Astyanax mexicanus: one gene and its partner. The protein of the gene in region 1 purifies or fractionates together with the protein of each later gene. This does not show direct contact. Links are inferred from orthologs where the notes say so. Each region holds a gene or a part of one and is shown in the gene's direction. Other genes may lie near its edges.

Region 1 (11,482 bases):
GAGAGGAGGCTAAAGTGATGCACAATCATGCCTGATGCCTACTGTACAAGCCAATAAAGTGTGTGTATATCAGTAAATGACAATGTGTGCTGTGATCTGTGCTTTAAACAGTACAGGAAAATACCAGATGGAATGGTGCCACCATCTACACCTAAATATGCATACGGACAAGTCCCCATGAAAAAGGTAAATATTCACATTTACTCCATACCATGGTGTTAACTTCTGTTTAAAGGGGATTTTAAAACTAAAATCCCTATATAATTTATGTGTGTGTGTTTACAGTTGAGGACAGTGGCGGAGTCTCTGGATATCCTGTCTTTTTCTGGACCAGTTAAAAGCACTTATCCACTCACCTTCACAGACATGAAGCAGGTAAAACACATTCACATTTACACACACTTCAGTGTGAATTGTATGTGGGCCACCTTTAAATATGGAGTAGATGGGGTGGATATAGAACAGAGTCAAGTCAAAGAAACACCTTCATGTATGAACAGTTCTGTACTTGGTTAAACAGTTTCAAATAAACAGGTAAATGTTCATGGTATAATAGAACCTTTTAACCTTTTTTATGATTAAGTATTTTTTATTATTATTTTTTTATTCTTAGTAGTATTGTTTCAGGTGTTTTAGTTGATTTAAATTAGTTGCTTATAATCATACTTTAGATAAGACCTGATTATTTTTATTATTTTATTTTTTGCATTTTTGCATATTTTATGTTGGCTTATTATTCTTTATTTAAGTGTATTTTATTGTTTCAATTACTTTCAACTTTTTTTCTTTTTTTTATTAATCTTAAGTGTTTTCCTTTTATGACCATTTACTTGTATATAGCACTAAAAAGCACAAAAAAAAACATAAAAGTTATAACTATTAAAAGACATTATACATTATTTACTTTAGTTTTTTTATATTATTCAATTATTTTATTACTCTTATTATCATTATTTCAGCTATTTTAGTTCATTTAGTCTTATTTAAATTTTCTTATTTGATTTTATTTTATTTTTATTTTATTATTTTGTTTGGCTGTTTAAAGCTTTACTTTGACTTGTTTATGGGTAATTTAATTATTATTATTTTTAACGATTTGATTTATTTCCCTTTGGATTTTCTGTTTATTTTATTGTTTCTTTTACTAATTAAATCATATTTTGATCATTTTGTACCCTATTAATCTTCTATAACCTTGTTATGTGTTTATTATATCATATCAATAATATATTTTCTATATTTATTCCTTTCAGTCCTGTTTGTTGTAAATGATTGACTTTATAAAAATAAGACTCAATCCTATTAAAATAAAAATAATGGTTGAATGATTGGTTGATGGATCTTTATATATATTAATATATATATAAGTCATAAATATAAAAACAGTATCAGTTATGTTCTGAACCTTTTTTTTTTCAGGCTTTTGGCTTCATGCAGTATCAGACCGTCCTTCCAGTGGACTGTATAAACCCCACCCCTCTGTCCTCCCCCCTGAACGGAGTGCGTGACCGGGCCTATGTCTCTGTGGACGGGGTACGCTGCTTTATTACTGAATCATCTCTTTCACCGTTACTCTTCTCGTTTATTTATTAGCGCTGATGTAATAACAGCACTGAGACCTGCTGTGACCTGCTGAGAGAGGTATGATGTGTTTATGAACGGCTGTAAAGGGTTACATAAGGGTTATATAAGGAGGAAGGAGGTTCTGTAGAGCAGAATTGCTCTTTAATCCCCTTTAAATAAATGAAGAGATATAGATGGAACAGCGCTGGATTAGAGATGTGTACTGTGCTGATGTTACTGCTGATTATTGGGGTTATATCAGATTGTGTCCTCTCGCTCAGGTCGTCGCTGGGATCCTGGAGAGGGACAAGGCCATCACCATTAATATAACTGGTAAAGCTGGCAGCAGACTGGACATACTGGTGGAGAACTTGGGAAGGGTCAACTTCGGGAAAGACATCAACGACTTTAAGGTGAGTTTAAGCTTCAGTGCTGGGAGAAAAGCCTTACTATCGCCCCCTAGTGGGCTGGAGGAGTACTGCTACGAGGATGCCGGCTGTCAGTTCACTTATTTACACTAAAATACCCTTTACTAAACATAATTTAGTATAGAAAAATGACAAATATTTTTTGTTGTGACACATAAATACAGTATTGATAAACCACTATATTGCTTACACATTTAAATCACTGAATAAATAAAACAATTGTAACAATAAAACAATAATACCAAGATGACCAGATGAGGACATAGAATTCTCTGACATATTTAAATTAAAGCTCGATATTTCTGTACAAATATAATAATAAGGGAATAATTAAACTAATGATTTACTGAAGTACTAAAGAAATTAAACCACTGTGGAGCACTGTGGACATGAGAGAACTCACACACACACACACGCATTAAAGAAAACTATATAAAATGAAAAAAAAATGTTATTTAAAGTAAAGGTTAACATTATTTCTCTATATGTGTAATTATGTAATAAATAATTCAAAGTAAATATTGAAAAAACAATATTAAAAAAACAGTATTTTATGAACTTTAAACTAATATTATTTAACACAAAAGGCATATTATATTGATTTTGAGCCATTTACATTATGAAAATGCAACTAAAGATATATAAATATGTCAAAATCGTTGAGAAATGTAAATTAAAGTGTAATAGTACATTTAAGATAGATAAGATATTCACATTGTTGAGATATATGTAAAAAAGATTGTTATTGGACACCTTTTTTAATAAATATTTGTAATGACGTTAACGTGTCTCTCTCTCTCTCTCTCTCTGTGTACAGGGGCTGGTGTATAACCTGACTCTGGGAGCGAGTGTACTGGCCAACTGGACGGTGTACAGTCTGAGTATAGACGAGGCAGTGAAGGGTGGTCTCCTATTGGATACTGTCTCTCTCCGCCCCCCTAAAACCACCACCCCCAAAACTCCACCCACTAAACTCTCACCTCCAGCCTTCTACGCCGGATCCTTCAGCATTCCCGACGACATCCCTGATCTCCCCCAGGACACCTACATCCAGTTCCCAGACTGGAGAAAGGCAAGATATTTAATCTTTAATCTTTTTTTTCTAGAAAAAGACACAAACACAGAGAAGTCTTTTCTTTAGAGAAATTAAAGATGTAGCCAGAGAGTCTAAAAAAAACTCTTAAAACTGGAGAAAACTGCTACAGGAAGGCGTCTGGCTGACCCACATGGAAACGCTTAGCTTTAGCTCAGCTTAAAACTGGACTAAGTCTCAGTCACTAATAAGAAGTAAAATAAAATAAAAAAGCAGCTTTTTACCCATAGTGTATATGTAAACATTGTGATGTAATTTTAACTGTTTGTTTATTGCTGCACTATTACAGGGTCAGGTGTGGATTAACGGGTTTAACCTGGGCCGGTACTGGCCCTCCCGCGGCCCCCAGATCACCCTGTTCGTCCCGGGGTATCTGCTCAGCACCAGCGCTCCCAACAACATCACCGTCCTGGAGCTGGAGGCGTCGCCCTGCTCCTCAGGACCCTGCGCGGTGGAGTTCACCAACACTCCCAACATCAACGCCACCACCAGATTCACCACGCCCTTCATCAGAGATCCACTGAACCTACAGGGGCTTTTATAACACTCTCAATCATTCTTAATGAGAAATGACTGTACAATTCTAATAATCCACTCCGCCAGCTGAGCCGTGTGATTTAGGAGCGTGAGATTCTGCTGTCTGCACAGTTTACTGCTCTGAAAGTCTGATTCAGGATCAGACGCTGGGTTCGGACATCACTGCATGATAATATAGAGCTTAAAAGCTGACACAAGTATTTTAATCTGTATTTTAATCTGTATTTTAATGATGTTTTATGGAAAGAAAATTATGAATTAGAATTTTTACAACCTTTTTTTGTATTAAAATCTGCTGTTAAAAAAATACATGCTGAAATAATTTACAGTTTATAGATTTAAAAAAACTAATATCCATAAACTGAAACATTTGATTCAAGACAAGAAATATGCATTTAGGCCAATGGTGAAAAAAAAGAGTAGAAAAGTTTGAATCTAAACATTTATGAAACTGATTTTTGGAAATATCTTCTTTTTTCACAAGTTTCTCACACGTTTGAAAAAAAAAAAAAATTTGAATTATGCCATTAAATATTTAAGTCTATTAAATTTAATTAAAGTAAACAAAATGTAGATTCAGATGCTAATGTCAGCTTTTGAGCTCCATATGATTAATATATATATACATATACTGGAATACAGTATATTTGAACAGGAATGCAAAACGGTGCCTTTAATGAAGAATTTTATCACAATGTAACATTTTTTAATGTCCATCTCATTTACACTGAAATCACGTGTTAAGCTACCTCACTGAGATTATGTGTTTTTATCTGGGTAACGAATGATGAAATGATGAAAGTTTACACAAAGGGAACTCCTGCTTATCTCTGATTTTTTTACAGGATGAATGACTCACTGCTTATGTTCACAGAGCCTTTAAATAAATCAAAGCGGAATTCAGAGAGGCTCTCTATACCTGGTAAAGCCTTTGTATCCTTCGGTAGATTGTTCTACACTGACATGCCAAAAGTCATGGCACAATTCTACACAGATGCCACTAGTCACAGTCTTTCTCCACATTGCTATTTGCAGTGTTCAGCCTCACTCACAGGATACAACCTCAACACTTATACACTTATACAGTTTTGTGCATCCCCAAGCTGTCCACTGAGGTCAAATTTTATCATCAGTATGCAATGCTATCAGTACTATTGTCCCATGACATGTGGCATGTCAGTGTTTTATTTAAACACTGCTGTAATGGCTACAGAAACCGGTGGAGTCTTTTGTTAAACAAGGTGTGTTTTTATAAAAGCTTGACTTTGGGATGAACTGGAATTGAGATTTTTTTGCACTCCTCTGCTGAGAAACATGTGCAATAATGTGCTGTTTTATATGCCAGATGTTCAAATCTGCCTTTTATGTTCTATTGCATCTGATTAAAACTGTGTTTTATTTTATAGCAACAAATTAAAGAATTCATTTCAGGCCTGAAGTTTCCTTTTACTACAGCGTCTAAGTAACAAAGTTTGATAATAATAATAATAATAATAATAATAATAATAATAATAATCTACAGTACTGTAACTAGTGGGATATTTCTCAGCCCAGAATAACCAAAAAAAGGGACAAATATTACTTCAGTTATAAGTCCTGCTGTGTGAAATACAGGGTTCTATATTTACGTTTTAAGATTAAGTCATGTTTGGTCCTAAAACTAAATCCATTTTAGAATAAACTATTTATTTTAAATAAACATCTTACAGTGCCTATTGGAATTGGTTTCTCATACTTTAAATTACATCTTAATTCGAATTTTCCAATTTTTTTGTAGCAACAAAAATAAAGTAATTTATATAGACTAATTTGTATAGATACTTTTTCATTTCATTTCTTGTATTTCACTTAAGGAAAAGTGTAAAATAATCATAAAATTCACAGAAGCATAAGCCTATCTACTTAGATTCACTCTGCAGCTTCTGTATGTAAAGAGCTATAATCTTGATTATCCCATTTAAAAATATCATTAAAACAGTAATTCCTTTAGTCAAATTAGTTCCATTAACCTCCCAGCCCTACCTGGAATTCAGGCTTTCAGTTAACAGCTGTGCTGAACTCGTCAAGAGTTCATTACTTTATTTTTTTTTTGCCTCTTAATGTGTTTGAGAGCATCAGTTTTAATCCATATTATGATGACAACTACTCAACTCAATTGAAGATTTTATAAAAAAAAAAAAATGAAAGTAAAATTTAAGAAAAACGCTTATTTTAAGTTACTACATGGTTCAGTTTGTGTTCCTTTATAGTTCTGGATTACTTTAGTATTAATTTACAATGTAGGGAAAAAGAAAACAATAAAGACATTGAAGGAGAAGGTGTGTCCACACTTTTGTCTTGGTATTGTATGTGAATTGTTTCAGTTTATTACATTGTAGTGAATTATATTAATTAAAACATACTTTTCTTAAAAAAAAGTTTAAAAAGTTTAAAAATAACTACGATAAAAGTTATGTGTGTGTAATTCTCTTGCATAGAGGCTTTGTTTGATTGTAAAGAGAAAGAAATATTTAATATTAAGATCAGGTCTGATTGCTGTGGGCTGATGACGTAATAAAGGCGGGTCCACCCCAACCGGAACAGCCAGCTACAGACACTGGACTGAAACGGTGAGTACAGCTACATTACCTACATTTAACCTGTAATAATTAAACTTACACTGTAATAATGAACTAAACCCGCTTAGATAATATGTAGACAACCTGTTTAAACAGAACAATGGCGGGTAAACCCCAGAACGGGCACGGAATTAAGTGAATTTTGGGTCTAAACCCGGTATTTGAGCCAGCGCTAGCTGCAGTGTGTGTGCTGGTGTTTGGGTTAGCGGCGCTGGCTAACATCTGCTCTAACATCTGATTTACCCCCGATAAACCACTCTCTGCGCTTTATTTAACTCAGTAAGCCTTTTCCCTCGACATTTAAGCGATTAATAATCTGTATAATACTGTAATACTGCTGTTTTAGCTCAAAATAAAGCCAGAGTTTAGCTAAATATAGTGAAAGTGCAGGGCAGAGGCAGGGGTTAGCCTAGCCTAGCCGCAGGGGAACAGTCTGGGTTCACTGTTATTACACTTTTATTACACTGTTATTACACAATTATACAGCTGTAAGAACGGTTATTTAGTTATTCAGTACTGCTGACTGTTCAGTAACCTTAATATACATATTTTATGTGGTGGTTTAATGACTACATTTAAAGGAAAAGCTTAAAACTGCTCTATGTATATATACAGCTCTGAAACAAAACAAAACACACTTAAAATTATGAGTTTCTTTGATTTTACCAAATTGAAAAGAAATGCTTGGATTTTTTTGCACCAGGAGTGGCACTAAGTTATCCAAAAGCAGTGTGCAAGGCTGGTGGAGGAGAACATGCCAATGTGCATGAAAACTGTGATTAAAAACCAGAGTTATTTCACCAAATATTGATTTCTGAACTCTTAAAACTGTATGAATATAAACATATTTTCTTTGCATTATTTGAGGTCTGAAAGCTCTGCATCTTTTTGTTATTTCAGCCATTTCTCATTGTCTGCAAATAAATGCTCTAAATGACAATATAGTTTATATAGTTTATAGTTTATATAGTCCCCAAATCCCAAATCTAACACACCCCATTCATCCGATTAAGCTCTTTTCCTCTTGGCAGTAATTAGATGAATCGGGTGGGATTGATTAGTGTTTGGAGCTAAAGCTTGTGGTTAATCCCTGCTTTAAGCTATGTAGTGCTTTGTACTGTTAGTTTGCATTGCAAATGAAACATCATACTGCAGGCTCATACTAACTGTACTTTGCTTGTTTCTGTATTTCAGCTAAGGCGTGCTTCCCTGTGAAAAAATAAGACCTGCATTAACCTCAACCAGGCTGTGAAGTACCAGTTTCATCCACATATCTTGAATATGATGTAATGATAGTAGCCTTCATGGACAAACTGGGTTGTAATGATGAAGATTCCCCACCTTGATTCTTCAAAAACCTGTTCTTGACAGTGACTGACTGTGTTCCATTACAGTACAGAGGACTTATAGACTTATTAGATACGTTTTTTTATGTAAAAATGGTTGATAATCGTTATGCCACAGCGCTGGTGATCGGCTCAGTCCTGAGCCTGCTGGCTAGCGTGTATCTGTCCGTGGCAGTGGGCACTCGGCACTGGTACCAGTACCGAAGCATGCCGGCCAGCAACGATGTGAAAAACGGCTCAGACCTGCACGCGCTAAAGGGCGCTTTTATAGAGGAAGACGTGAGCGAAAAGACCTACAGTGAAGCTCTGTTCCGCCTCAACGGCACCATAGGGCTGTGGTGGCGCTGCATTCTGGTGCCTGAGGAAACACAGTGGTACAGACATCCTGGTAAGATGATGGTCTTTAAAATATTATTTGGAAGTTATGTAAGCAATGGTTCTTTGCCTATTTAAAGGGTTCTTGTCATATTTGGTTCTGAAAAGCACCAAATAGGGTTCTGTTAAGAACCACAATGTAATGTCTTATTGCAAAACTACTGCCTAATTCTATTTTTTTGGTGCTTCCTTTCTTTCTTTCATCAGAACCGAAGATGGTGACAGACTGTCAGGCCTTCACTTTGCCCCAGCAGTTTGAAACCAAGTACAAACTCCCTGGAAATTCTAGTAGTGAAGAAGATCTACTTCGGACCTGTAAGTGTAGGCCTCAAGAGTGTTGTTACATTATTATCTGTCTTTCTGTTCTTGGAAGACACACAACAAGTATTAAGGAAAATGACTAATAGTGTTTTTGCACCTTTCACCTGGAAGTGAGGTGTTTTCGGGTAAGTTTCTGGCGTATTATTGTCTTGGCAGCAGAGAACACATGTGCACAACTGACTGATTTGAACCCTGACAATTGCCAGACATTAAATTCTATCTTGGCAACGCAGGTATGCTGTGCACCTTTAAAATAACAATCTGAGAGCCAGAATCAGAGAGCACCTGGCTCTTAAATGGCATAGCAAGTGAAACTTTGATTGGTTTACTTATGTTACGCACCAAAAACATACCCATGATTAATTAAGAGACTTAGTAGTAAATGTCTTTGGCTTGTTTCAAGCCAAGCAAGGTGTACTTTTCCCGCCGTTATAATAGAAAAGACACCGACACTGTGTGAGTTTAGTAATTTCACTTGTGGACCAAACCAACCACACCAAGACATTTGAGAGAAGGTGGTGTCATTCGGGTTCTAAATGAACGTGATCTGATTTTGATCTGTCTCAGCTTTTGAGTTTAACCTGCTATATTGTCCTGATAATTACAACAGCTATAAACAAATGCTATATCTGCTCTTTCATCATGTAAAAAGAGGAGCAACCTAAATGTTCACACAGTATGCCTTGACAGTTTTTTGAGCTTGTTTTGTAAAGACAAAACAAACCAAAGCAAGGGGATAAGTCTCCAAGTTTACAAACTCATTATAACAGTATTTTAGTGTCCACTGTAACAACATTGTGTTTGCTGAATATTACTGTATTATTGTGTTATTAATAATAAGAAATATTAATTTTCCCTTCTCTGCTGTTCTCAGATCTGTGGAGGTGCCGATTCCTGTTCCCACTGGTGTCTCTCGGGCTGGTGTTTTTGGGAGCACTGATCGGAGTGTGTGCTTGCCTCTGCCGCAGCATCACACCAACCCTGTTTGTTGGTTTTCTCCATCTGCTGGCTGGTAAGATGACCTAGATGGCACACATACACACACACACTTCAGTAGTACATACAGAACTGGAGCAAAACTCTGGTTAGCTTGCATTAGATATATTGTATCTTATGATATTGTATCACAGTTTTTTTAAGGTTAGTCAGCTATTATTTCTGCCATGATGTCCATCTTCAAAACGACATAGAAACAGCTGAATGTGGGATATATATGCACTTTAAATGCCCAGATGAGATCTGATATTTAGTGAGAAAATATGTAATCTGTTTTGTCTGTCTTCAAGCTGATTGTGAACTGAGGAAGTGAGCAACCCTTACCTCTTCCCCATTGTGTTTTTTTTCCAAGGCACTTTTTGTACTAAGTTACAAATTAACGACAAGTTGACACATTTTTACAATCGTAATCATTGCAGCCCTAGTAAACACTGGCACAGAAATGTACAATAGAGCCTTATTAACTTGTTGCTGTGGAAAACTTCATTCAAAATAAGCTTTTTGCCAGTTTCAATTTTAAATGTACTTAGTGACAGATGTGACAGATCTTTATAAAATCCTGAATAACTGAGTGGGTTAACTTGGTTTATTCCAGTTCATCCATCGTTTGTTGTTGTTGATTGACCCTAAGCAAGTCCTCTACTCTCCTCTCTTCAGGTATTTGCTCTCTGGCCACAGTGTGCTGTTTCCTGGCTGGGATAGACCTGCTGCACAGAGCATCCGAGTCAGCTGATTGGATGAACTACTCTTTGGGCTGGTCCCTCTACCTAGCCCTGGTCTCCTCCCCGCTCCAGATGATGGCTGCTGCTCTCTTTATTTGGGCCGCCAGGAGCCATCGCAAGAACTACACTCGCATGACTGCCTACCGGGTGGCCTAGTTAATGGTGGACCACCCACACGGACAGCTCGCTGGACCACTGGGACTGTGTATAGTGTTGCCTGGGCAGCAAATTGTTATGAAAAGCCCAATTGCCTTCGCCTAGGCAAATGTTTGACCACTAAACTGAAGGACTGTAAATCTTAAATCTCGTACGACAGCCTGAAGAACACTTCACCAACATGGTGCAATCATCTGGTCCGTGTAAAGGTGTACACACACACACACATTTGATCCTAAGTGCTAAACTCCACAAAAAAAGAGGCTGTTCTGGCCTTGTCTCTTCTCTTCATTACTGCCTTGTTTACCACTCTGTTAGATCCATGTATAGATATAGGCATAGATAGACATCTACTTAGAAGACTACTTAGATTAACTTTTATGTTTAGAAACCTACATGTTTAGTAACATACAAAGCAGCTGCCGAAACGTTTGGTAGAATAGGTTTTCTTGTGTGATGTTTGACATTACAGAACCTGTGTTATCTTTTTACTTGCTTAAGATGCACCTTATTCTAATGATTCAGGAGTAGAATTATTTATAGAAGCTTCATCTTCTAATACCAATAAACAACAGTATATACAAGTATATAAAAGAGTTAGCAAACATCACATAGTAGGAGTATGTTATTTTTCAGGATAGATTTGTTACAGGACTTAAATCAAAATCCAAATTTTACTTCCTGCCTATATCTGATCCAATAATTTCTGCATTAAAAAAAATAGGACATTATGGGTGAAGAAAGCTCTGTTTCTTCACTTCATCTGACCCAGGGTATCAAACCTATGACCTTGTGTAGAATAAGCCAGCTTCGCAAGAGGCAGAGAGTAAAGGCCCTTGTTTAAAGGTAGTACCTGCTGGTTCATTGCTTTGAACCACCAACCACCACCTTCCATGCTTCAGGGCCTCCAGAGAATCCCGAACCCACAACCATGTGATCATTGCTCACCCAGCACTCTAAGTACTGGCCCACTATTACTCCCTATATATTATGAAATGAGAATTGTTTTCACTAAAACTTTACTTCAAAAGTAATTCAGTTCAGATAGCCAGGTTTTTTAACACATTAAAACTAATGCTCAGTTTTAATCCTAGATTTTCTTTGTTTGTGCACACTGGTCTAGTTTTAGATGTTATCGGGTTTGTTGTTATTCACATGAATGCAGTATGTAGCATAAGGTTTGTACTCATACGATTTGTGTCAATATGCATGAACAGAATGCAGTAACTTCTTGCCTTTGTTTCTCACACCATTAATAGAGCAGCTCAGACTTCTCGAGCCTTATGGGACAGTTTCCCAGACTGGGATTAGGCCTAGTCCTGGACAA
Region 2 (10,585 bases), on another chromosome or scaffold:
ACTGTAACAGTTAGTTCTGTTTTGTAACAGTTAATTCAACATTCTATGGGCCGGTTTCCTAGACCAGGATTAGGGCCAATCATGAACTTTCCAATAATAATAATTTCCAATATCCAATAGTGATTCACTGTTCACAATGCAGTTCCAAAACTTAATTCAATAATATTAGAAGCCAGGACTCAAGCTAAAGTGGGGAGAACATTAGGTATAAAAATAATAACAATAAACCTGAAAATATAGAAAACCAGTCCTTATACTGTTAAATAAACTGCTACAGTTTTAACAACACTTGATTTCAATAGCACTTACAGTAGCATACTGTCAGCAATACATCTTACAGTATGCATTCTTTACATACCTATTGTATGCAATGCTTACTTATTATTATTAGTTTATTAATAATCACAGTATATTACTGATATTATTATCACTCTACTAGGCTGCTGCATTTGTATCACAGCAAATATTGTACTACTTTAAAAGTTATCACTGCAAAATTAAATTTTCACAGATTTCACAGAATGTATAATTTTTAGCATTTGATAACATTTATTAACCCCCTAACTGTCAGACACTTTTGTCAATTTTCACCCTGATGTTACAAGCCTAAATCTTGAGGTTTTCTGTTCAAGCATTACATAAGAAGCTTTAATTATAGCTGTAATAGGAAACACATGACACATTTGAGTTCAATCTGCAACTGTCAAAATATAACACATACAAATCAAAAAATGTATGCTTTCCTGAACTTCACTTTAAAATCAGTATTTTAGTGAATACAAACAAACTGGTAAAGGCTATTATCAAACAGGTATACTTTGGGGTTGATTCCCTTTTAAAATGGATCTGATTCTGAATTATTAATTTAACAGAGAATGAACAGGCAGCTTCTCCAAGTGTTCAGTAGAAGAATCTCCTTAAATACCTTTTTCAGTTTTCAGAGTGTAAATTACTTATTTTACTGCAGAGAGGGTTTTGTATCACCTTCACCTGTAGCCCATATCAGCTCTATCCAATGAAAAACAAGCATCTCTATTTTGACTATTTTTAGTTCACTACATAGTTTGAACACACAAACTGTCCTTTACAGTGTACCAAACGTTTGTGATGAACAGACAAATAAAAATACTTCAAAATGACCTGAAATAAAAAAATGTATATGGACTTTCATTGAAAGTTTAGAAGGTTTTTTTTCTCTCTCTCCTGTAAAGTTGCTGGTTTGGAGATACTTGTTTTTCATTAGACAGTGACGATATACAGACCAAGGCATGTTAAGGGCTTAATTATATGCTGTGAAAACTACAGGAATTGTAAGAAAAGTGTAGTACTAATTAACATGAATCAAAAAGCAGGCTAAATTAAACATATTGGGCTAATTTGTTGTACAGAGAAAATATTTTTTGTTTTATAATTAAAATCAGGTTTAATGTGAGTCTTACTGTATACCCAGCCTCATTTCTGATCCTTGTTTTTTTAATATGTTGGTTATATTTCAGTAATACAGTGCAGAGTTTATTAGCTGCTGTGTGACTGATGTATTGTGTTATATATTGAGTGAGGGGTTGTGTAGGGAACTTTAGCTGGGTTTAGATGATGGCAGTGAGCGCTGGGGATTATTCTGAGCTGTATGATAATGAACAGATCGTTTTTGGGAGTCTGGTCTGGAGGTCTGAAGGTGTGGAGTAAACGTAGTTTCACATTTGTTTCAGATATAATGAATGTTTCTCTATGCAGTGCCTCAACTCTCCCGGGAACGTTCAGCATGAATTCTTTATTTCTATAACTCTATTTGCCAGAAAGGCAGATTTACGAGTTCGCTCGTGTGATTGTGGGGCAGAAACGACACAAAGCCTGAATACAATTCCAGCATGAATGCTGAAGCTCGCCAAACCAAAACCAAACTCCCAGAGCTCCCGTCCACATCCTGACAGGGGGAGTTCACCTCAGCAGTGGAGGTGAGAGAGAGAAATGCACTTTAAAACCACTATTTGTCTGAATCAAATAAATTAGGTCTGTTTTATGTATTGTATAAAAATTGTATGTTGTCAAACATTACTCAACATTTTTGAGTTAAGTGAACATTTGTGACTACATGTACATGTCAAACAAAGATCTTTGAGTTGAATTAACTTCTGACACTCACCGTTAGTGTGTAGTAATTCCCCCCTGAGGCTACCTTAGGTAAACGTGTACAATAGATAATATATTACGATTATAACTGCCTGGATTCTATTGTATGTTGTAGGCTGTATAAGCTAACATCATGTTCTGAGCTGCTACAGTAACTCAGTGTTTGGCTGTATGCTAGTTATACTGTTCTCTATATAGCATATTTTTCTTTATTTCATTTTCTATGAGTATTTAAAAAAAGACTAAGAAAAGACTAAATACTACATCTACAAATTTTATTTACCTGACCATCACATTCAAAGTAGAATTATTATGCAAAGCAATTGATATAGCAAAAATGTAATTCTTACTTAAAAATGTAGTACATATTACTTGTAATTTATTATAATTTACTACGTAAATAAAGTATATACGTATGTTCAAGAAAATCTTAATAAAAAATATTTTTATATTATATTTAAAGATATTTCATGTTTTATCTGCTCAATTTTATCCGCTACATTTAATTTATTAATAAACAATAATTAATAAACATCCATCCCTTTATTCCAGTTACACTGTAAAAATTCATCAGTCATTCTCCTTAATGTGATTTTTAATATTAAATTGCACCGAAAGCTATAGTAAATTAATCAACTCAACTAACATTAAGACTCTTAATGAATATATTTTTTGTTGATACTAAAAATAGGAGCAGAACTTGCAATACACATTTAATAGAAGTTAAATTAAATACTGTACATAAAAACGTAAACATTTTTTATTAACTTGGTGAGATTTAATATTTAAAGTTTTAACACATATAAAAAGTGTGTAATACCTAAACACAAGATTTTTACTTGGCACAACCGGTAGTGGTTTTATTTTCAAAAAATAAAAGTTTAAGTTTGAGCCTCAAAACTCAAAAATCTAGTGCAGTATATTGAAATTGTGAGTTTACAGTGCAACAGAGAGCATTATAAGTATGTTTTCCCTTGTAATCTCTTGTTCTTGTGGTTCTGTCAGCTGTTGTTGATGAAGGTTTATGATTGCTTTGCATCTGAGAGAATTCTGCAGTTATATTGTGCATTATTTTATTAGCAGTGAGTGTACTATTATAAATATATAATATATACAGTATTAACTGTAGCTGTATTTGATCTACAGTGTGCACTGTAGAAAGTGTTCGGAAATAAATCTCGGAAAGATTTACGGTACTGTTTGTCACACCAGCACACTCTCATCTAACAAACATTCATTAGTGAGGATTTATTACGGAGCATGTGTGATCCTGAGGGCTGGCGAGCAGCATGCGGGATTAATCTCTGAATGATTGCGCTGTTCCACTGTTCCTGGACCAGAACCATAACAGAACAAAGCCATCAGAGATCATATTAACTCTGCACTGTTATTTTACATCCAATAATAACTGATCAGAACAGAACTTCATACTGGATATTAATCTTGTTAGAGTAGAACTTCATACTAGATACTAATGTTATTAGAGTAGGACTTTGTACTGGATATTAATGTTATAATCTTAGGACTTCTAAACTAATGCTTTTACAGTCCAACTTTATAGTAACTTCATACTGGATACTAATGCTATAAGAGGAAGGCTCCTAAACTAATGCTATTACAGTATAAAGTCATAATAATTTAATACTAGATATGAATGTTAGTGGAGTAGAACTTAATTCTGGAAGTGGATATTAATGTTGTTAATGTTGTTATAGGATTTTATATAGTGTGAGGTGTGTGTGAGGAGTGCTGCAGTGTGTTTTTTCAGGCGAGTGCAGATTACATTTTATTATCACATTCTGTTTCCACATGGTAACGATTATATCTGATCACTTTATGTAGCTCAGACATACTGTTTCAGTTTTCAGTTGTTGTGTATAAATATTGAATTATGCACAGTCTAAAAGCCAAAAGTGTGTGTGTGTGTGTGTGTGTCAAAACTGCACTCAGTTAACCCGAGTTCCATGTTTTGTTGTTAAAAATATTCCTTGAGAAACGTTTAGGGGTTCTATGGTTTATAACTTCATACTGGATATTAATGTTATTATAGTAAAACTTCATACTGTTTTCTTAGAAGAACTTCATACTGAATATTATTGTTATTGTAGTAGAATATCATATTGAGAAATAATGTTAATAAAGTTCAACTTCGTACTGGATATTTATGTTATTACTAATGTTTTAGGAACGTTTTAACGTACAGTATAGAGCCTCTGTCGCTCACAGAACCCGAACAGTAGGTTCTGTTGGAGTCCCGCTGAGTTTATAAGAGGATAACTGTGAGGTTTATGAGGCTCCATATGGTGTTCATGTAGTTACCACCAGCGGGTTATAACTCAGGGGTCGTAACAATGTCCAACATTATTAAACACAATGTTTAAATCAAATGGAAATGATGTATTTATTATATTACAATCCCAAACACACAAAATCCCTTTGCTGGTACATCACCATCATATCATATGGTTTACTGCACTAAGGGAAATGAGCCAATCAGCAAAGCTTCCCCTAAATGATGTCATGCTGTAATGCAGAACGACACATCTGAGTTAAATTAAAGTTTTATGCTCTGCTCCACATTCAAATCACAGCACACTCCACTAATACCATTACGATTAATAGAGACATTTTAATGAAAAATAAACAACAAATGTGCCATTCCAAAGAATAACTATGAATTGAGCAGATATCCCTTTTGTATGTTGTCTGTTAAATAATAAAAGAGACATATTATATCAGTTTTTACACACGTTAGAATACAGTAGTCTATACAAAATATGATCATGAAGTTCTTTACACAAAATTACTCTCTCACCAGCTCTATTCTTACCAGTTTCAGTCCCTTTCAGAATGAGCCGTTTAAGGGCTCTGCCACTTTTATGCAAATAAGCTTTTGCTGGCCACGCCCCATGTTTGTGCTCAGTGTTTATCACACATTAGTGTTAGCTTGCGCTGACAAGCTAGTTTATGCTTAGCTGTAACAAAACACACAATAGGTACAGATTCCTCCCTCAGACGAAGTCAACTGATCTAGTGGGCAGGGCTCTGTTGAGGGTTAATGAGTAAGAAAAGGAGCCAGGGTGGTTCTATGCAGGGTACCTTATTGTGACCTCACAATAAAGAAGAGAATCCGATTGGCTCATAACAGCAAATGATTCCTGATTCCTTTCAAACTCTTTCAGCTGATTAACTGAAAATGGATGGATGGATATTAACTGCTCTGTTGTGGTCTATCCTGTGGGGTCCTGAGCATTAAAGAACAGGGGAAAAGGGGAAAACCTTGACCATGAAAGATCATCTTAGACCATCTGAATCCAGCTACCAGCAGAAACTGGTACCCGAGCAGAACCTGATCAAGATAGACAGGGTTATAGGTGGGTAATAACACAGCAGGTTACACAAATTCTGCAGTCTGGCTGAGGTCCTGATTTCAGAAGGTCAGTTATATGAGAAAAAATGGTTCTCCTTCCAGCATCTGAAACATTCAAGCTAATGAGCAACATTCAGCTGCAGCGTTATTAAGACCACATGCTGACTGAGAGTCTCAGTACACTCTACCTACCCAACTTTCACACACAGTTCAGTACAGACCAACAACATCTTCACTGAGGAGTGGAGGCACCTACATCGGTGGGCAGAGGCCTATATAAGCCTACAGAAATGTATAGATAAATAAAGACCATATTCACATGGAATCTATTGTTGTTTTATACCAATATCAACACAAGAAAAAAAGGAATTCTATTATCATACTGTAAATATCCAGAGTCTATATGCAATTAAATTCTTGGTTTAAGTTTAACCCACACAATCGTCACTGGAAGGACTGAAAAGTATCAGTCAAATAAGTGGGATGGGTAAAGCAGTGGTTTGGGTAAAGTTCTGAGTTGGGTTTAATTGGTGGGTTAGGTAAAGTGCTGGGCTGGTTGAAGTCCTGGGTTGGGTAAAGTGCTAAGTTGGGTAAAGTGCTGAGTTGAGTAAAGTGCTGGGTTGGGTAAAGCAGTCTGCTGGGTAAAGTGCTGGGTTGGGTAAAATGCTGGGCTGGATGAAGTGCTGTGTTGGGTAAAGTGCTGGGCTGGGTCCTCCTCGGATCAACTGGGCTGTTCTGGGGGAACGGAAATGAACAGCACGAAGTTGCACCCGGACGGTTTTAGCGGCGGATCCGAGGATCGGGGCGGAGACGGAGCAGCGGCCATGGCGGAGGTGAGTGTAAATCAGTAATATTAATAAAATCAGAGTTTATTATAATAAATAAGCGACGGACTACACATAAAAAGCTTCAGAACTACCGAACAGAACCGATAGAACCCGAACCCGCCGTGGATTTAGCTGGAAAATCGCTATAGAACAGTCGTTAGCTCACAGGCTAACAGGCTTAGCATAACAGCGTTCTTTGGTTTATTACGGAAAGAAGATTAGAAATCAATTTGTAACTTTATTACATTTTACTCCATGTAAACGCTTATATTCACCATGTACGCCTTCTGTATCTGATGCTATATGTGTTATTAAAGCTGGATGTGTTTAAAGGAAGTAGTTTAGCTATTTAGCTAGCGTTAGCTGGTTTAATAATGTTGGGGTTTGTTTATCTCAGACTGTAACTAACCGCTTTAATATCTAAACATGAGCTCAAGCTTTCAGACTTTATTAATCCCTTTAATTAACTTCAATTAACCCATAAGAGTCTATACACAGTTCTGAATATTGATACAAAATCCACAATTTAATAATTTGATTGAATCAAGCAGCTCATTATATTTATTGTTATAAAGAGCTTGTTACTGTAAATATTTTATTGCTAAAGCTAAATTAATCTAGGGTGCTGAATACTTTGTATTTTATCATTTTGTTCTAGACATCATAAAATAAGATGGTTTTATCTAAAAGCACTGAACCAGCAATCCAACACTCATGATCACACTTTTACACACTGTCCTGTATTGATGATCTCAGAATGTTCGGTATGTGCCACTTAGGAACTTTAACAGGAGTTAAAGTAAAGTACAGAGTGTTGTTAGGGTTTTGTGGATTAAACTGTGTTTCTAATTTAATAATAAATAAAATAATAAAATCTAATTTATAATAATTAAGTTTTGTAAGGCCTTGATATGTTTATACTTTGTTTAATTTACTTCTACTCTGGTTTTAGCAGATTAGAATACAGGGCCCCAAAAGGTTAACTGTGGAAAATAATAATTAGATATTTAATACTCTAAGAATTAATGACCAAGGTGTAATTTTCTCAGTTTAGCATTTGTTCCTTAAGTTTATTTAATCGTCCTCTTGATTTATAATATTATCAAATAGTGTGGGTTGTGTTTATAAGATTTAGAGAAGTGTTAGTGTGCAGTGATATGAGAAAGGAACAGATTAGAGACAATTATTAGACAAATGGTATGACAAGTTTAAGCTCCCCTGGTCTTCAAAATATCTCTGACCATCTGAAATAATGGTCTAATTTAGTAAATCATCTGAGATATATAGTGATATATAAATACCACTGTGTGTATTGTATGAGGTGCTCGACAAAACTCGTTCTTTATTAATGCAGACCTTTTAAAAGTATCTCAGTATTTGGTTGTATAAAGTTTATTAAATATGAGGTCGTTACTCTCTGGCAGACGCACAGCCTGCAGGACCTGCGGCAGCAAGCAGCCATCGCCTCCAAGGTGTTTGTGCAGCGAGACTACACATCTGGCACCATCTGCAAGTTCCAGACCAAGTTCCCCAGTGAGCTTGAGACCCGGGTAAGATCATTTCATCAGAGCAGCTGATTAGAATATTTAAAGCACTATTTTAGCTTTATCTAAAGTTGAGCCGTCAACTGAGCAACATGCAGCTTAATTTAGGGCGTCAGTGTGTCTTTGCTATTGTAACGACGGGAAAAGTACACCTTGGGTGACTCTTAATTAATTATGGGTGTGACATGAAATTTGGTCATACGGTAAAATAATCCAATGAGCGTCTCACTTGGCATTCCCTGTAAAAGCCAGGTGCGCTCTGGATTGCTATTTTAATGGTGCAGCTATGATTCTCAGCAGAGGATACTGATCTGCTCGTTCACACTGTGAAGGTGCACCAGCAGCTGATTCACAGCAACAGCAATGTTATTTTATTTAGTATTCTGTTTATCTAACGTCTTACAAAGATCACTCTCATTGAAGTTTTTAGTATACATTTTAAACGTATAAAAAGTGTTAATGTTGTGTGTTTTGGTTTGTATTTTATCAGATTGAGAAGCAGCAGTTTGAGGAGACGGTGCAGACCCTGAATAACCTGTACGCCGAGGCCGAGAAGCTCGGGGGAAAGTCCTATCTGGAGGGGTGTCTGGCCTGTCTCACCGCTTACACTATTTTCCTCTGCATGGAGACCCACTACGAAAAAGTGAGTTTATGTAGTATTTTCACACTTTACAGTACCAGTCAAAAGTTTGGACACATCTTCTTATTCAGTGTTTTTTTCTTTAATGAAATAAGTTAGGGGAGACATATGGAATTACATAGTAAACAGTAAAAACAGTCCTCCACAATCCCCTGATCTAAACCTGATGAACTGAGATGGTGATTTGGGATGAACTGGAGCTTCACAGCGTGAAGGAAAAGCAGCAGCTATTGTTTAGCACCTCCAGAAACTCCTTCTTTCTTCCAGGTGACTCTCACTCATTAAAAACACTAAGGTTAAAATACCAAGAGTGTACAGATCTGTCCTTTAAGATAAATGTGCTACTTATTTAGAAGAATCTAAAGTATAATTCTAACATATTCTGGTTTGTTTAAAACGTTTGTTTTCAGAATAATTCAGCATGTTTTTCTGTATAGCTTTAATATAGTCTTCAATATTAAAATTATAATGTAAACAATCATAAAAAGAAAGAAAACACACTGAAGGAGAGAAAAGAGGTGTGTCCAAACGTTTCACTGGTACTGTATATTGTTTTCTTTAACCGTTGAACCCTGTAATAAATACTCTGGGATTATTACACTGCTGAAAACTTTATTACAGCGATTTGTTTCCCATTACCTGAACTCTGCTCCCTTTTGTTTTGTTTTTTTGTTTTTTTCCCAGGTGCTAAAAAAGATCGCCAAGTACATCCAGGAGCAGAATGAGAAGGTTTATGCCCCTCTTGGCCTCCTCCTCACCGACCCAATCGAGAGAGGCTTGCGCGTCGTATCCTTCACCCAACAGCAGAATCTGATTCACGCTTCAAATCATGTCTCAGGCTCATGTCTCAGGCTCATGTCTCAGGCTCATGTCTCAGGCTCATGTCTCAGGCTCATGTCTCAGGCTCATGTCTCAGGCTCATGTCTCAGGCTCATGTCTCAGGCTCATGTCTCAGGCTTTAGGCTCACCTCTCACTCTCATTACAGCTCTAATCTCACACAGTCTGATGTGCTGAAAATAAAGTTATAGGAAATGGTTTGCAGTGTTGTGCAGAAAAGTGATTGTGTTGATTTAATTGATTTATATTAATACATTTAATTGAGAGCTTTGTTTGTTGTAAAATATCTAATAGTTGTTTTCAGCTTTTATCTACATGTTTTATAATTTTTCAAACTTTTCACATTAGTGTACTAAAATGAACATTATTAGGATTATTCTGAGCACTTAAATGTATAATAATGTAATAACAGTTTAATATAGACATAAGTTGTTTTATAAACAGTTTACCTTAACCCCGCCCTCCTAAGGTGGAGATAACCATATTTGAGGACAGAAGCATTGGATCAAGATAAAACGTACCAAAGGTAAACAAACACAAACGCACACACATTTACCTGATATTGCTTCTCTTGACAGGGTGTGTCTCTCTATACTATGAGTGCAGGATTGTCCTGCAGCAGATTCACCTCGGATTCAATATGTGCTCAAAATGTCCATACGCAACATATTTTAGATTTACTTTACAGTTGGACTCTGTATAAAGTTCTCTGCATGTAAATATAAAATAGTGCTGGATGATATGGCAAAAATCTGACACTATATATTTCTTAATTTCAGTGGATACAATACAGTTCTGATATTGATATGAACATTTACAATTAAAGCCACCACTCTTGTTGTACATTATCTTGCACTGATGGAGCTACTGGGTGATATGGTAAAAATATTATCACATTAATTAAAGACATTTATATACTGGTTATCATAATTTATAAATACATTTGAATTTCTCAGTTTTCTTGTGCTGCCATATTTTTTATTGATTCTCAGTGATAGTCCTTTGTTTGGAGTGTGCCTCTTGAAACCTTTATTGGAAGGACCATGTAACCCTAAAACATCCCCTAACTTACCCCTCCAGCTTTCACAGCACTGTGGAGGGCTTTCTGGTAATTACAATGTGTTTTTAATAATTACCTTGTATTTAATTGTAATTGTTTATTTTGTTTATTTTATTCTGCAGGAGAATGTATTGGACACATTAATCACTGGCCTGCTGGATTGAAAACCGGGTTCC

Evidence for each region. The genes of interacting proteins can lie anywhere in the genome.
Region 2: the proteins of cldnd1b (region 1) and golga7 purify together in Homo sapiens (affinity purification with mass spectrometry; 3 studies listed by BioGRID and IntAct, counting the BioPlex papers as one, with this or other methods). This does not show direct contact. The link is inferred for Astyanax mexicanus from reciprocal best matches to the Homo sapiens genes CLDND1 and GOLGA7.

The regions. Positions count from the first base shown.
Region 1 is NC_064432.1:22,638,715-22,650,196, reverse strand, and holds the start of cldnd1b (claudin domain-containing protein 1b), read left to right. Parts: upstream 1-6,150; 5' UTR 6,151-6,230; intron 6,231-7,433; 5' UTR 7,434-7,678; coding exon 7,679-7,973; intron 7,974-8,167; coding exon 8,168-8,275; intron 8,276-9,155; coding exon 9,156-9,293; intron 9,294-9,934; coding exon 9,935-10,155; 3' UTR 10,156-11,482. Other genes in the region: glb1 (beta-galactosidase), read left to right, coding at 112-186, 286-375, 1,420-1,533, 1,845-1,976, 2,809-3,063, 3,374-3,628. UniProt on the Homo sapiens protein: Plays a role in negatively regulating the permeability of cells to small molecules.
Region 2 is NC_064427.1:21,744,517-21,755,101, forward strand, and holds the start of golga7 (golgin subfamily A member 7), read left to right. Parts: upstream 1-6,225; 5' UTR 6,226-6,249; coding exon 6,250-6,333; intron 6,334-7,751; coding exon 7,752-7,877; intron 7,878-8,361; coding exon 8,362-8,514; intron 8,515-9,195; coding exon 9,196-9,297; intron 9,298-9,818; coding exon 9,819-9,863; 3' UTR 9,864-9,875; intron 9,876-10,531; 3' UTR 10,532-10,585. UniProt on the Homo sapiens protein: May be involved in protein transport from Golgi to cell surface. The ZDHHC9-GOLGA7 complex is a palmitoyltransferase specific for HRAS and NRAS.